2 linked regions of the Oryctolagus cuniculus genome follow. The main gene of each other region encodes a partner of the protein of the gene in region 2 in a complex. Links are inferred from orthologs where the notes say so. Each region holds a gene or a part of one and is shown on either strand. Other genes may lie near its edges.

Region 1 (6,601 bases), on a different chromosome or scaffold from region 2:
AGAACATTTCCCCTACTGTGGGTCCAATAACTCCATTTTGGGGAATGTATTCAAAAGAAATAAAACTAAGAATGAAGATTTTTTAAAAGGTTTATTTATTTGAAAGGCAGAGTTACAGAGAGGCAGAGGCAAAGAAAGAGAGAGAGAGTCTTCCATCCGCTGGTTCACTTCCCAGATGGCCACAATGGCCAGAGCTGGGCTGATCCGAAGCCAGGAACCAGGAGCCAGGAGCTTCTTCCAGCTCTCTCACAGGGCTGGAGGGACTTGGGCCATCTTCCACTGCTTTCTGAGGCCACAGCAGAGAGCCGGATTGGAAGTGGAGCAGCCGGGACACAAACCAGCACCCATATTGGATGTTGGCACTGTTCATGGTGGCTTTACCTGCTATGCCACAGCTTGGGCCACAGGAATGAAGATTCTGATACAAAGGTGTTCCACAGAAAGATTAAAACAACTCAATTGCCTAATAAAAGGGGAATTATTTAAATAAACGGTAGGCGCATGGCACAGCTATTAAGATGCCCCTTGGGACGCTGAATGCCGTATCATACAGCCTGAGCTTCAGTCCCAACTCTGCTTCCGATGCAGCTTTCTGCTAATGTGCACCCCAGGAGGCTCAGATTGGGCTCCGACTCCCGACTGGCCTGACTTAGCCCTGGCTGTTGCAGGTATTTAGGGAAGAATCAGCAGGTGGAGGATCTCTCTCTGCCTTTCAAGTAAAATCAAAATAAATGAACAAAGTAAAATTTTAAAAAGGTACATGTGTACAATGGACTAGTAAGCCGCAATTAAAAATATTAGAGATTCAGTATGATTTTTCAATCTTGCCTGAAACATGTTCACTGTGTGTATTAAGAAATATGGAGGCCAGCGCCGCGGCTCACTAGGCTAATCCTCCGCCTTGCGGCACCGGCACACCGGGGTCTAGTCCCGGTCAGGGCGCCGGATTCTGTCCCGGTTGCCCCTCTTCCAGGCCAGCTGTCTGCTGTGGCCCGGGAGTGCAGTGGAGGATGGCCCAAGTGCTTGGGCCCTGCACCCCATGGGAGACCAGGAGAAGCACCTGGCTCCTGCATTCGGATCAGCGCGATGCGCCTGCCACAGAGCGCCGGCCGCGGCGGCCATTGGAGGGTGAACCAACGGCAAAGGAAGACCTTTCTCTCTGTCTCTCTCTCTCTCACTGTCCACTCTGCCTGTCAAAAATAAATAAATAAATAAATAAATAAATAAATAAAATAAAAAAGAAATATGGAGAGGGGCTGGCACTGTGGTGCAGTGGGTTAAAGCCCAGGTCTGAAGCGCCATATGGGCGCCGGTTCGAGACCCGGCTGCTCCACTTCCGATGTGGCTCTCTGCTGTGGCCCGGGAAAGCAGTGGAAGGTGGTCCAAGTCCTTGGGCCCCTGCACCTGCATGGGGACCTGGAAGAAGCTCCTGGCTTTGGATCAGCCCAGCTCTGGCCATTGCGGCCAATTGGGAGAGAACCATCGGGTGGAAAACCTCTCTCTCTCTCTCCATCTTCTCTCTGTAACTCTTTCAAATAAATAAATCTTAAAAAAAAAAAAAAAAGAAATATGATGGAATGAATACTGATTATGGCCCAATAATGGTATGGTTTCTTTTTTTTTCCTTCTTTATATAGCTTCAGCTTCGGAAATTTCTAGAAGGCCCTTATGTCATCGCCTAAGTGACAGTGACCATACACACAGGACAATAAAGAGGTGGGGGAACAACCCACGCCCTTCGGACGGCCGGGCCGGGAGTCGGTGACGTCAGCGCGGTTCCTGGAACCCCCGCCTCCCCTCCCAGTCCAAACCCGGCCGCGCCCAGCCCGCGGGAAAGATGGCGGCCGCCCCGCCCCCGCGGCCGGAGCCGAGCGCTCCCGAGCGCTCCCGAGCGTTCCCGAGCGCTCCCGAAGCCCCGAGGAACCCCGGGAGCCGCTCGGGCGGGAGCGGCCCCTCCCGGAGCCTGGGAGCGGCGGCGCCGGCGCGGGGGAGGGGCGGCCGGATGTGAGTGGAGCGGCCATTTCCTGTTTCTCTGCAGTTTTCCTCCGTTTTGGGTGGTGGCTGCTGCCGGGCTTGTGCCTCCAGTCCGCGGAGGGCGAGGCGGCGTGGACAGTGGCTCCGGCATCCCGCGCCCCGCCGCCCGTCGCCGCGCGCTCGCCCGCCCGTCGCCGCGCGCCCGTCCGCCCGCCGCTTCCCGCCTCAGCGCCCGGCCGCCGCCGCCGCCGCGGCCCAGCGAGCGGCCCAGATGCAGGCCATCAAGTGTGTGGTGGTGGGAGACGGGTGAGTGCGCGGCCGGGGGCTCTGGGGGGCCGGCGGGGGCTCGCCGAGGGTCGCGTGGGCGCCGCGCGGCCTCTGCGCGGGGCTCGGGCGGGCGCCCCTCACCCGCCGTCGTCCCGGGCCGGGTTGCGGCGTCCTGGTGGGGGGAGGGCCCTGCCGCTGGCCGGCCGCGGGCAAGAGTGGACTCCGCCCTCTCGCCGCCTTCCCGGGCCCGCGGGGCGGCCGGACGCCGCCCGCCACCCTGCCCGGCTTGGCACGGCTCTCGGGCGCCTGTGCAAATCATTTTATTTTATTTTATTTTATTTTGGCGAGAAGGGGCCGTTCCCTGGCATTTACCCTAAACCTCCTGGTCGCCCCCCACCCCCACCCCTCCAGCCCGGGGAGCCGGGGCGGGCGGCGGAGGTCCAGTGGTCTGAGTGACCGGAAGCCCAGCGTGCGGCCGCGTCGCTGCCACTTGTAACTTGGCCACTTGTGGGGTTCTTCGACATGGTCGGTGGCGCCCTTGGCGTGGACAAAGTTTGGAAGATGCTGTCAGGGGCCAGGTGTGACGGAAGCTGACCTCCTGCAATGTGGTCGTTATTTAAAAAAATAAATAAAAATAAAAATTAAAAAACCGAGGCCTTGGCTGAGCGCGGCAGGGATGGATGGAGTTCTTTCCAGGACCGCCCGTGGGGGTTACAGGCCCCAGAGGAGGACAAGACCGGTCTTATGCAGTTGTGTGTGTGTGTGTGTGTGTGTGTGTTTTTCCCTCCCTTATAAACAAGAATCCCAGTGTGATCCGAGCAAAATCGCGCGTCTCAGCATTGCTTGTGTAGCTTAGTGTGGGACAGGGACTCTCGAAGAATTACTACCAGTTTCACCCAGCTCTGAATGCAACTGGTCCAAGTCCAGAGTCGGAGGAAGAGTGCGCTGGACACCTCTGGTTCATATCCCAAAAGTGGCCTTCCGACTTTTATCTTTTTTTTTTTTTTTTTTTTTATGCCTCTTAGTGAATGTGTGATCTCTTAGCTTAGAGAACTGATGGGAGACGTTTGAGATTGTTTGTGCATTTCGGATGCAAGGAGGACAGTTAGGACACTGGTTTTTCTGGGGAGATGCATGTCTGTTGGATTCGTGTCACACGTGGGAAAGGTGAACCCTGTATAGTTCTACGTATTCAAATAAAAATTGTTAAATTTCATTTATTTAGGAATGTGTATGCTATGTTACCTTTTTAAAAGAAAACCTTACTTTGGCACTTGGGGAAAAGCGTTCGTGAAGTGGGATTGAAAATGAAGTCAGCGGATTATTTTAAGTGAATTCTTCCATGCTTTTGTGTCAGGCATCAGCAAAACGTCACTTTTTCTTAGGAACGTTTAAAATGACCTGGATTTCCCTTAAAAGTTATAAATGCTCCATCGATTATGCTTAGGATATGCTTAGCTCTCTTTCTAAGTGAAGTTGTGGTAATTCAGAACCGAGGGATGGAATGTAGTATTCTGACTTGAAGGTTTCTAAAGCAGGGACCCAGGGTGTTTGACACGAAGAGCTCCCAGCCCTCTCCTGCTGGTACTGCTGTTCCTTCCAGTGAATACTTGTTGAATGCCTGCTGTGTGTGTCTGTCCTGCCCACATCTCACCACTTAGTTGGGAGGTGTCTGAGAGCACATCACTCCTCCCCTCCCCCAGAGAGGTTCCTCCTTGGGAAGTTCAGTGAAATCATGCAGGGGGCTGGCTGGCAAGCCCCTCCCAGGGGCCAGGCCTCTACTGATTGCCTGGAAGTGACCAGGACCAGCACTGTGTGAGGCTCTGTGAGGGAGTATGAGTATTCAAAACACTGTTCCCGCCCTGGAATTTCCCGTCTGCTTTCTAATTTAATTTTTAAAATTTACTTGAGAGAGAAGAAGCTCCTACCCACCAGCTCACCCCCAACATACCTGTAACCAGCATCTGAGAACCCATTCTAGGTCTTGCTCATGGACAGGAGGGACCCAACTACATGAGCCGTCACCACCACTCCCGGGGTTCACACTAGCAGGAAGCTGGAATTGGGGCCTGCAGCAAGGAATCGAAGCCCGGCACCGCGCTGTGGGGTGCCAGTGTCGCAAAGGCTTGTCCCCACGGTATTTTAATGAGGGTTTGACATTTATGTTGACTCTTGACTGTCTTAAGTAGTATTGGAGTAAAGTGAACTTTTGCCAAAAAAAAAAAGTTACACTGTTACTCTCAGGGGTCATACGTAGCAAACATTTCTTCAGTAAAAATCCAAATCCCAAATTTTCCGTACCAAGAATATATTTCTGCTTTCGACTGGTAAGCTATATTCCTGATGATACTGCTGGAATGTTGTTTTATCAGATTGTTAAAGCTGTAAATATGGCCCCGAGTTTCAGTTAAAGGTGTTTAAACAGTGAAGGCAAAAGGTGGAGATACCACAAATTGGAAGCAAGCTGAGTTTTAACCATTTTATAACTGGGATCAGCTGGCTATTTTTTTTTAATTTAATTTTATTTATTTGAAAGAGTTCCAGAAAGAGGTAGACAGAGAGAGAGAGGTCTTCCATCCTCTGGTTCACTTCCCAAATGGCCACAACAGCTGGAGCCAGGAGTTTCTTCCAGGACTCCCACGTGGATGCAGGGGCCCAAGCACTTGGGCCATCTGCTGCTGCTCTCCCAGGTGCATCAGCAGGGAGCTGGATCAGAAGTGGAGCAGCTGGGACTCAGTCAAACAGTCAGCATCCCAATATGGGACTCCAGTGTGCAGGCCGGGGCTGTAACCCACTGTGCCACAGCGCCGGGCCCACCTGTGTTCTAGTGGACTACTCCCGATATAGCAGTATAATTGGCAATGGGTATAAAATGAGTATCAGTAATGACTTTGAGTAGCGTCTGGCTTAGGTTGACTTGAAGGCTGGGAGTGAAAGCCTTGAAGGCCCTCATTTTGCTTATCCCAGGGGTGTTCAGATTGGCCTGTGGCCCTCTCGGTCCCAGGTCCACTCAGACGTTGCTGCCCTTGAGTTATTTTTAGTTGTGTGTGGTGAGTGCCTTCCTTGATGCCACTCTCACAGGAAGCTACAGTATTTACCTCCATTGAACGGTGGTGACGTGGTCCATGAGTTTGCATAAGCTCATCGTGAATTCTTTGTGTTCCTCTTGAGGCATGGGGCTTCAGATTGTAGTTTTGGCTTGTGATAAAGGTATTTGCATTCTGCCCCGGCTTCCAAGTTTAGGTTGGGCTCATGACTCTGATCTTGGTTGCTAAAAGTATACATATACCTCCCCCCGGCCAAATGATAGGGGTTCAGAAGCTTGGATTTGAGTTAAGTGGAGCAGGAAACCGTTTGTAGAAGCCTTAAATCCATCTTTATGAAGATTGTGGTTTTGTTTTTTGTTGGCACTAGTCATCTGATGGCTTTGTGCTTTCTGCTTTTTCACTTCTAGATTATAATTGTAGGCTTCCTGGGAAGGAGATGTTTTATCAGGAAGCACCCTACCAAGGCGGTTCCATCTTGTCAGAAGGAGTATTTTTCTTCCAGCATCTCTCTCTCTCTCTTTTTTTTTTTTTTTTTTTTTTTTTTTGACAGGCAGAGTGGACAGTGAGAGAGACAGACAGAAAGGTCTTCCTTTGCCGTTGGTTCATCCTCCAATGGCCGCCGTGCTGCGGCTGGCGCACCGCGCTGATCCGATGGCAGGAGCCAGGTGCTTCTCCTGGTCTCCCACGGGGTGCAGGGCCCAAGCACTTGGGCCATCCTCCACTGCACTCGCTGGCCACAGGGGCAACCAGGACAGAATCTGGCGCCTCGACCGGGACTAGAACCCGGTGTGCCGGCTCCACAAGGCGGAGGATTAGCCTAGTGAGCCGCGGTGCCGGCCCCCAGTATCTCTTAATATGAGACATTCAGTTTCAGTATTGGTGAGAATCGTACGGTCAGCACCCATATACCCACCTCCACGGTTCTGTGATCTGCATTTTGGTCTGTTTGCTTCATAACATGTCTCCCATTATCAGAGGATTTAATTGAACTGCTGATTTTGATGGAGAATGGGGTGGTTTGCAGTTAGATACATGTGTTGTTTTGTGTTTCTTTTTTTTTAAACTTTTTGAAAGGTGGAGAGGCACCCATTTGCTGGTTCACTCCCCTGGCACCTACAGCGGCTGCACTGGGATCCAGAAACTCAGTCCAGGTCTTTGAGTTGGGTAGCAAGAACCCAGATACCTGACCTATCACTGTGGCATCCCAGGGTCTGAAGTAGCAGCCAGCTAGAGCCAGGAACCAGAGCCAGTACTCAGAGGTGGGGCACTCCCACCCCAAATTCTTGTTTTTGAGCCTTGTACCTGCAGCTGAC
Region 2 (5,906 bases):
TATCAGGCACACACAGGAACAGGCGTGGGCGCACTGGTCCCGGCGTTGCTGCCGGGGGTCCCAGGCTGGCTCCCCCTGTGCCCTGCCGCCGTGAGGACAGCCGGGCCTCCGGTCATCGTCCCCAGGCCACCAGAGGCGGGGCCTGCACAGGACCCTGCCTTTCTCCAGGGGACCCCCAGAGGTCAAAGGGCAAGCTGCTCGGGGGGGGGGGGGCACCTGTGTGGGCTGGGGCCGGCCAAGGTGTTCATGCGCCCCTCTTGTTCTGTTTTCCCGCCTGTCCCATTCAGGTCAGAGACAAAAGGAAGAGCCCCAGGTAATGCGTCCAGGGTCCCAGGGTCAGAGGCCCGGGGGCAGGGGGCCAGGGGCAGGGGCCGGCCCTGCGCCGGGAAGCCACTTCCTCCCAGGCCTCCCCCCCCCGGAGCTGTGGTGGTCTGCAGTGTGGACATCCCTTCTAATGGATCAGGCGTCCTGCGCCCCTCCCCCCAGGAAGCCACGCGTGGCGTCCCCGTGCCCTACACGCTCAAGGTGCACTACAAGTTCACGGTGCTCCTGGACACTCAGCCCCAGCTCCCCTACAGCCAGCTCCGGGACGCCGTGGCCAGGAAACTGGAGCTGGCGCCGGAACACACGAAGCTGAGGTGCGGCTGGGGGGGGGGACACGGAGGCGGCGTGCAGACATGTGGGGGCGGCATGGGCGATGCAAGGGTGCTGGGGGCCTGGGGGACACGGGGCACAGGCTCCTCTCACCCGGGGCCCACTCTGTCCCCGCAGCTACCGGCCTCGGGCCGGCCCCGAGCTGGCGCCCCTGTCGGAGGCCAGCATGGCAGACGCCTGGAGCCACGTGGACGGCAGCTGCCTGACCCTGTGGTGTGAGAACTCAGTGGTGAGTGCCGTGTGGCCACCGCCTGTCACCCGCAGGCGCCCCACAGCCACCCTTCACTGGAAGCCTGCAGGGGCCGTCCCCGTGAGGGTGACCTCCGGGGGTGAGGCTGTGCTCGGTGCGCCCGTGTGCCCTCTCAGGGTCCCGGCGACGCCGTAGCTGGGTGCTGCCACCCAGACACACGGCAGAGGCCAAGCAGCTTGACCTTCTCCCAAGGTCACAGCGCTGGCAGCAGCCTGGCCCGGCCACGCCCACGGCCACAGCCACCCCAGGCCCTGCAGCCGCCCAGAGAACGGGAGTGAGGAGCGGGCGGGGTGGAAGGTCTCCCTAGAGGGAGCACTCGCCGCCACGCTGACACCGCCACAAGGGGGCGCCCTCAGAGGCCACGGGGTGGACGCCCTCTCCTTCCTGGTCCCTGCTCCCGCGATTGTGCAGGAAGCCTGGCACCCCAACACCCGACGAGTGCCAGAGGTGTTGGTACAGGAACAGAAGCCCCGCCTTCTCGCGGCCCTGGGGGGATGGTGTGGCGCCAGGCCGACCACGGACAGGGCCACCGTCATGGCGCCGCAAGTGTGCATTTCTAACGGGCGCTAGCGTGGTGCTGGGGAGAGGGTGTCGGGTTCAGTGCTCAGCAGCTTGGGGCTCTGTGGCTGACTCCGCCTGTTTGCTCGGGACCACAAGGCTTCCGTGGATTTCAAGGTGACCAGGCAGGTCCACGGCAGGCACTGGCCACGCCCGGGCTCCGCGAGCTCGCGTCCCAGGAGCTGCTGGGACATCCCGGCCCCGCCCTCCAGCGGTGCTCAGTGTTCACGGCCCAGCAAGGAGACCAGGTTCTGTGCTGACTTCAGGGTGACCAAGGCTTTCCAGAGGAGCCCGACGAGAGCGAGCTCTCCAAGGCTGACGACCGGACCACGGGGCCGAAGATCCGGGAAGGCAGCCACGTGGTGGCTCGCTTCCGTTACGAGGCCAGCCAGCCGGAGGACCTGGAGCTGCGGGAAGGGGACGTCGTCCTGGTGCTGTCAGAGGGTAAGCGGCGGGGCCGCGGCTGCCGGTTCCGCCCGCTCCCCAGCTCCTGGGTGGGCAGAGGGGGTCGCGGCCGCCGGTTCCGCCCGCTCCCCAGCTCCTGGGTGGGCAGAGGGGGTCGCGGCCGCCGGTTCCGCCCGCTCCCCAGCTCCTGGGTGGGCAGCAGAGCGCACTGGGCTCTCATTCCTAGCAGGCAGGGCCCCCCGCGGCCAGTTCTCGCACCGCACTGCACGCTCTGCTCAGCTGCGCCCCTTTCTGTCGGGAACCAGCACGGTAGAAACCCTGGGGGAGCCCCAACGCCAGGGCCTCTCCAGCCTTGGGAGCGTAAGCGCACAGCCCGCACCGCCCCCGGGGACCCTGCTGTCTGCGGTGCTGCTGACTGCTCTAACTCCCGGTGTCAGTCCTAGCCACCTCCACCTGGCTCACTTCCCGGCCAGGCTGAAACCAGGAGCCAGGAGCTTCACCCACCTGTCCCATCTTCTGGTGAGGCCAAGCAGCCAGGACGTGAGCTGCTCCGCCACGACACCGGCCCTGTGGTCTCTGCCTTGCACGGGGCTGCAGCACCGTGTGTTGGCAGTACAAAGTAGGGACACACTGTGATTATCAGATTGAGAAGTGAGCAGGTTGTGAACTTAACGGGGTGGAGAGTATGCAAGTGTGTGGCTCAGAACACAAGCCGCTGACAGAGGCGGTGCAGGTGCGGTGTGGTGTCTTCCCGCACGAGGGACAGGGAGACAGGGAGACGCGGGCTAAACTGCACGGAGCAGTGAGCCGTGCAGTGTGCGTGTAGGGACAGTGGGAACAGAAACGCTCCCCAGGGCATGGACGAGAGCCCCGAGCAGGCGCACCCCTGTGGAGCAGGTGGGGCTGTGGCTCAGCCCAGCCGCCATGCTGGACAGCCAGGGGATGGCTTCTCAGACTGTCAAGGGCACGTCAGTCGCCAGGCGTCGTCTTGAAATGGACTCGGGCTCGAACCTGCCTGAAACACGCCAGGTGCCAGGACAGAGGTTTCCAGGCCCTGGCCGCACAGCGAGCAGCAGACGGGGGCCGGCGACTGGTCAGCCAGGGACCCCGCCAGCAGCGGCCCTGAGGCGACATCCCTGCGCGCATGGTGTGGTGCTGGGTTCGGGGGCTGCCCCACCAAGTGGCTGCTGTGTCCTGGCAGCGTGGGACACCACCCGCACCCGTTACGGAGTCAGCGTGTGCGCGTCTTCCAGTGTGGTCTGCAGGGCACTGCAGTCATTTTTAGGAACAGTACCCGTGGCTCCAACTCGGCCTCCATGCCAGGCCCTGCTCTATCGGCCACGCCCCGCTCTGCTGGCAAAGCTGCCGAGAGTCTCAGGAAACCCTAGTCACTGCTCATCCCTCCCCTGGCTTCTCGGAACTCGCTCCCGGGCAGGGTCCCTGTCGCTTCCCGAGACCACAGGCTCCGGGTCACGGCGGCGCGCTCTCCCCTCACAGTGAACGAAGAATGGCTGGAAGGCGAGTGCAGGGGGCAGGCGGGCATCTTCCCCAGAGCCTTCGTGGAAGAACACGCACCCGCACAGCTGCAGGGCACGCCCAGCGCCGGCGCAGGCCAGGGAGCCCTGTCGGCCTCCGAGACACCGCCCTCCTCCCTGATGTGAGCACGTGCAGGGGCACGGGGAGGGCGGGGCCCCTGCGGGCACGGGCGGGCGCCAGGGTTCCCGTGAGCATCTGCTGAGCTGTAGGTGCACACACGGCGCTCCTCTCCGCACGTCCTAATCTCACAAAAGCCCCACAAACCACACAGCAGGAGCCCAGGCCCACGGGCTCGGCGTGCGCGCTCCTGCTGCGTGACTCTGCAGGCGCCCCCAGGCAGCCCGGCAGCCACACTCGCAGAGGCCGGCCGGGCGGGCTCCCGTGGGATGCACGCTGACGGGCGCCGTCTTGGGGAGGGGAGAGCTATTCCCCAGCCTCCCCTACACCGTCCCAGCACATGGGACAGCCGGGCTGAGTGGGCCCCACAGGCTAAGCGAGAGCCCCCCTGAGCCGCCTATCAGTGTGACGGCAACGGGCGACTCTCAGCGCCCCGGCCCTGGCCACTCTGCGTGGACGCCCGCCGGTGCGCCCCTGCGGCCGCCGGTCTGCGCCAGGGCTCCCTGCAGCGCCCTCAGGCCCTACCCTCGCGGCTCCCGCTCCCCGTCCTCGGGCCGGCAAACAAATGGCGTCACACAGGGCTGGCTGGAGAGAACAGGTTTAATTAAAGGCAAAGCTGATTCCAGCAGCTGCAGGTCTTGCACAGACAGACGAGAAAAAAAACCAACAAACCCAAAAACCCCCAAACCAACCAACCCCCCCACCCAGTTTCCCACACAAGCCGGCTTCCGAGGCCGACTGCTCCCCCCTCACTCCACAGCGAAGGCAAAGCCGTGCGCCCCGAGTTGGCACAGGGGGCCGGGGGGGGGAGCTCGGTGCCAGCTCCTGCACCAGCGTGCCGCAGCCACCTGCCACACAGCGCGTGCACGCCGGGCAGGGCCGGGCAGGAGGCTGGGAGAAGCACAAAGGGGCGCAGGGTGCCACTGGGTGGGGGCTTCACCCTTTCAGGCCTTGCCAAAAAAACAAAAACAAAACAAAACCCCAAACACCACGGCAAACGGAAGCAGTAATAGAAGCGTCCGGGACTCCAACCCCCTGAGAGACGAGCGTGCCCTCCCCCCGCACGGCCAGGGCCCCCAGCTGCGCCCTCGCACACGGGGCCCCGTCACCAGCACAGCAGTGGACATTTCCATCGTTTCCCTAATTCCCCTCGGACCCCTCAGGAAGGACGGGCGCCGCCTGCGCAAGCGCACTGGGTCCTCGCGCCTAATAAATAGCAAAGTCAAAGTCCATCTCCCGCTGTCCCCGTTCCGCTTGCTCTGCGCCGCCGGGCGCGTGTCCGTGCCGCCTCCGAGACCACGCTCAGGCGGGCGCCCTCGTCTTCGGCCGCCTCCGGGCCCCGCGCCGGAGCCCACGCTGCTGTCGCTCGGCCAGTCGTCGCGCACGTTGGGAACAGAGACAGTTAGTAGCACACAGCACAGGGCAGGGAGGGGCAACCGGGCAGTCGGGGCACAGAAATCATCCAACCAAACGACAGCCATGCTGAACGCCTCTCCCCGCCCGGAGCGGACTGGCGGCCTCCCGTGGGCCCGTATGCTGCCCGCCGTGGGTGCAGCCGGGAAGACGTCGGCTGCCAGTCCGGCCCAGCACCACCGCCCCTGCGCGTCCTCGCCGGGGTCACGCCCCCACGTTCTGCTGGGGCCCCGGGCCAGTGCAGGGCCGGCCGGGCCACCCGAGGCCTCGCGCTGTCCCTTGCGGACACTGCCACTGGCTGAAGAGGCCGGGCTCACCCTGTCGCCACCCGCCTCCCACAGGGCAGTGAGGGACGGGGCTCCTTGTCACCCGCTGACCCGCAGCACGTCAGTGTGGCGTCACTGCCGAGAGCAGCGACAGCAGCCAGGATGGCTGGGAGCGATGTCCACTACTCTGTCAGCAAAGCAACCGTGAGTGGACTCCCGCTTTATTCCCCAAGAGGAGAAAGCACTGAGAAGTTCCCGCGGCTTCTCCCATCTGCCCTTGCTTCTCAGCTTCCACTTCCCACGTGGCTGGGGACGTGCGTGACGGAGGTGAGCGGCGGTGCCATCCGAGACCGAGCGGGACCAACGGGGCCCCGGGGACGGAGAGTTCCCGGTGGGTTTTCTTTCCGTTGCACTGCGGACATTCCGTGCACACTCAGCGGGCTGGTGGGACACTTACACCCTCGACAGCAAGGAACGGCAGAGGGCTGCCACCGCCGGGCTGAGCGCCAGGCCTGCGAGCCCGGCAGGCCGGCTTCGCGGAGCCTCCATGCGCAGGCTGCGCTCGGGCCTCAGTGTGGAGGGTTCAGGGCGCCTCGGCCCCGCTGCTGCTGCTGCTGCTGCATCAAGAGCTGCTCCAGCGCGGACGGTCCAGGGCGCGTCATGGAGCTGGACCAGATGGACTGCAGACAGCCGGGCCGTCAGTGCTC

Evidence for each region. The genes of interacting proteins can lie anywhere in the genome.
Region 1: NCF2 (region 2) and RAC1 share a complex: the UniProt entries of both Homo sapiens proteins name them as parts of the phagocyte NADPH oxidase complex. The link is inferred for Oryctolagus cuniculus from reciprocal best matches to the Homo sapiens genes NCF2 and RAC1.

The regions. Positions count from the first base shown.
Region 1 is NC_091450.1:40,074,289-40,080,889, reverse strand, and holds the start of RAC1 (ras-related C3 botulinum toxin substrate 1), read left to right. Parts: upstream 1-2,102; 5' UTR 2,103-2,245; coding exon 2,246-2,280; intron 2,281-6,601. UniProt on the Homo sapiens protein: Plasma membrane-associated small GTPase which cycles between active GTP-bound and inactive GDP-bound states.
Region 2 is NC_091444.1:1,484,686-1,490,591, reverse strand, and holds the end of NCF2 (neutrophil cytosol factor 2), read left to right. Parts: intron 1-287; coding exon 288-313; intron 314-486; coding exon 487-638; intron 639-771; coding exon 772-883; intron 884-1,728; coding exon 1,729-1,906; intron 1,907-3,364; coding exon 3,365-3,528; 3' UTR 3,529-3,629; downstream 3,630-5,906. Other genes in the region: nonsense-mediated mRNA decay factor SMG7, read right to left, coding at 5,769-5,879. UniProt on the Homo sapiens protein: Subunit of the phagocyte NADPH oxidase complex that mediates the transfer of electrons from cytosolic NADPH to O2 to produce the superoxide anion (O2(-)).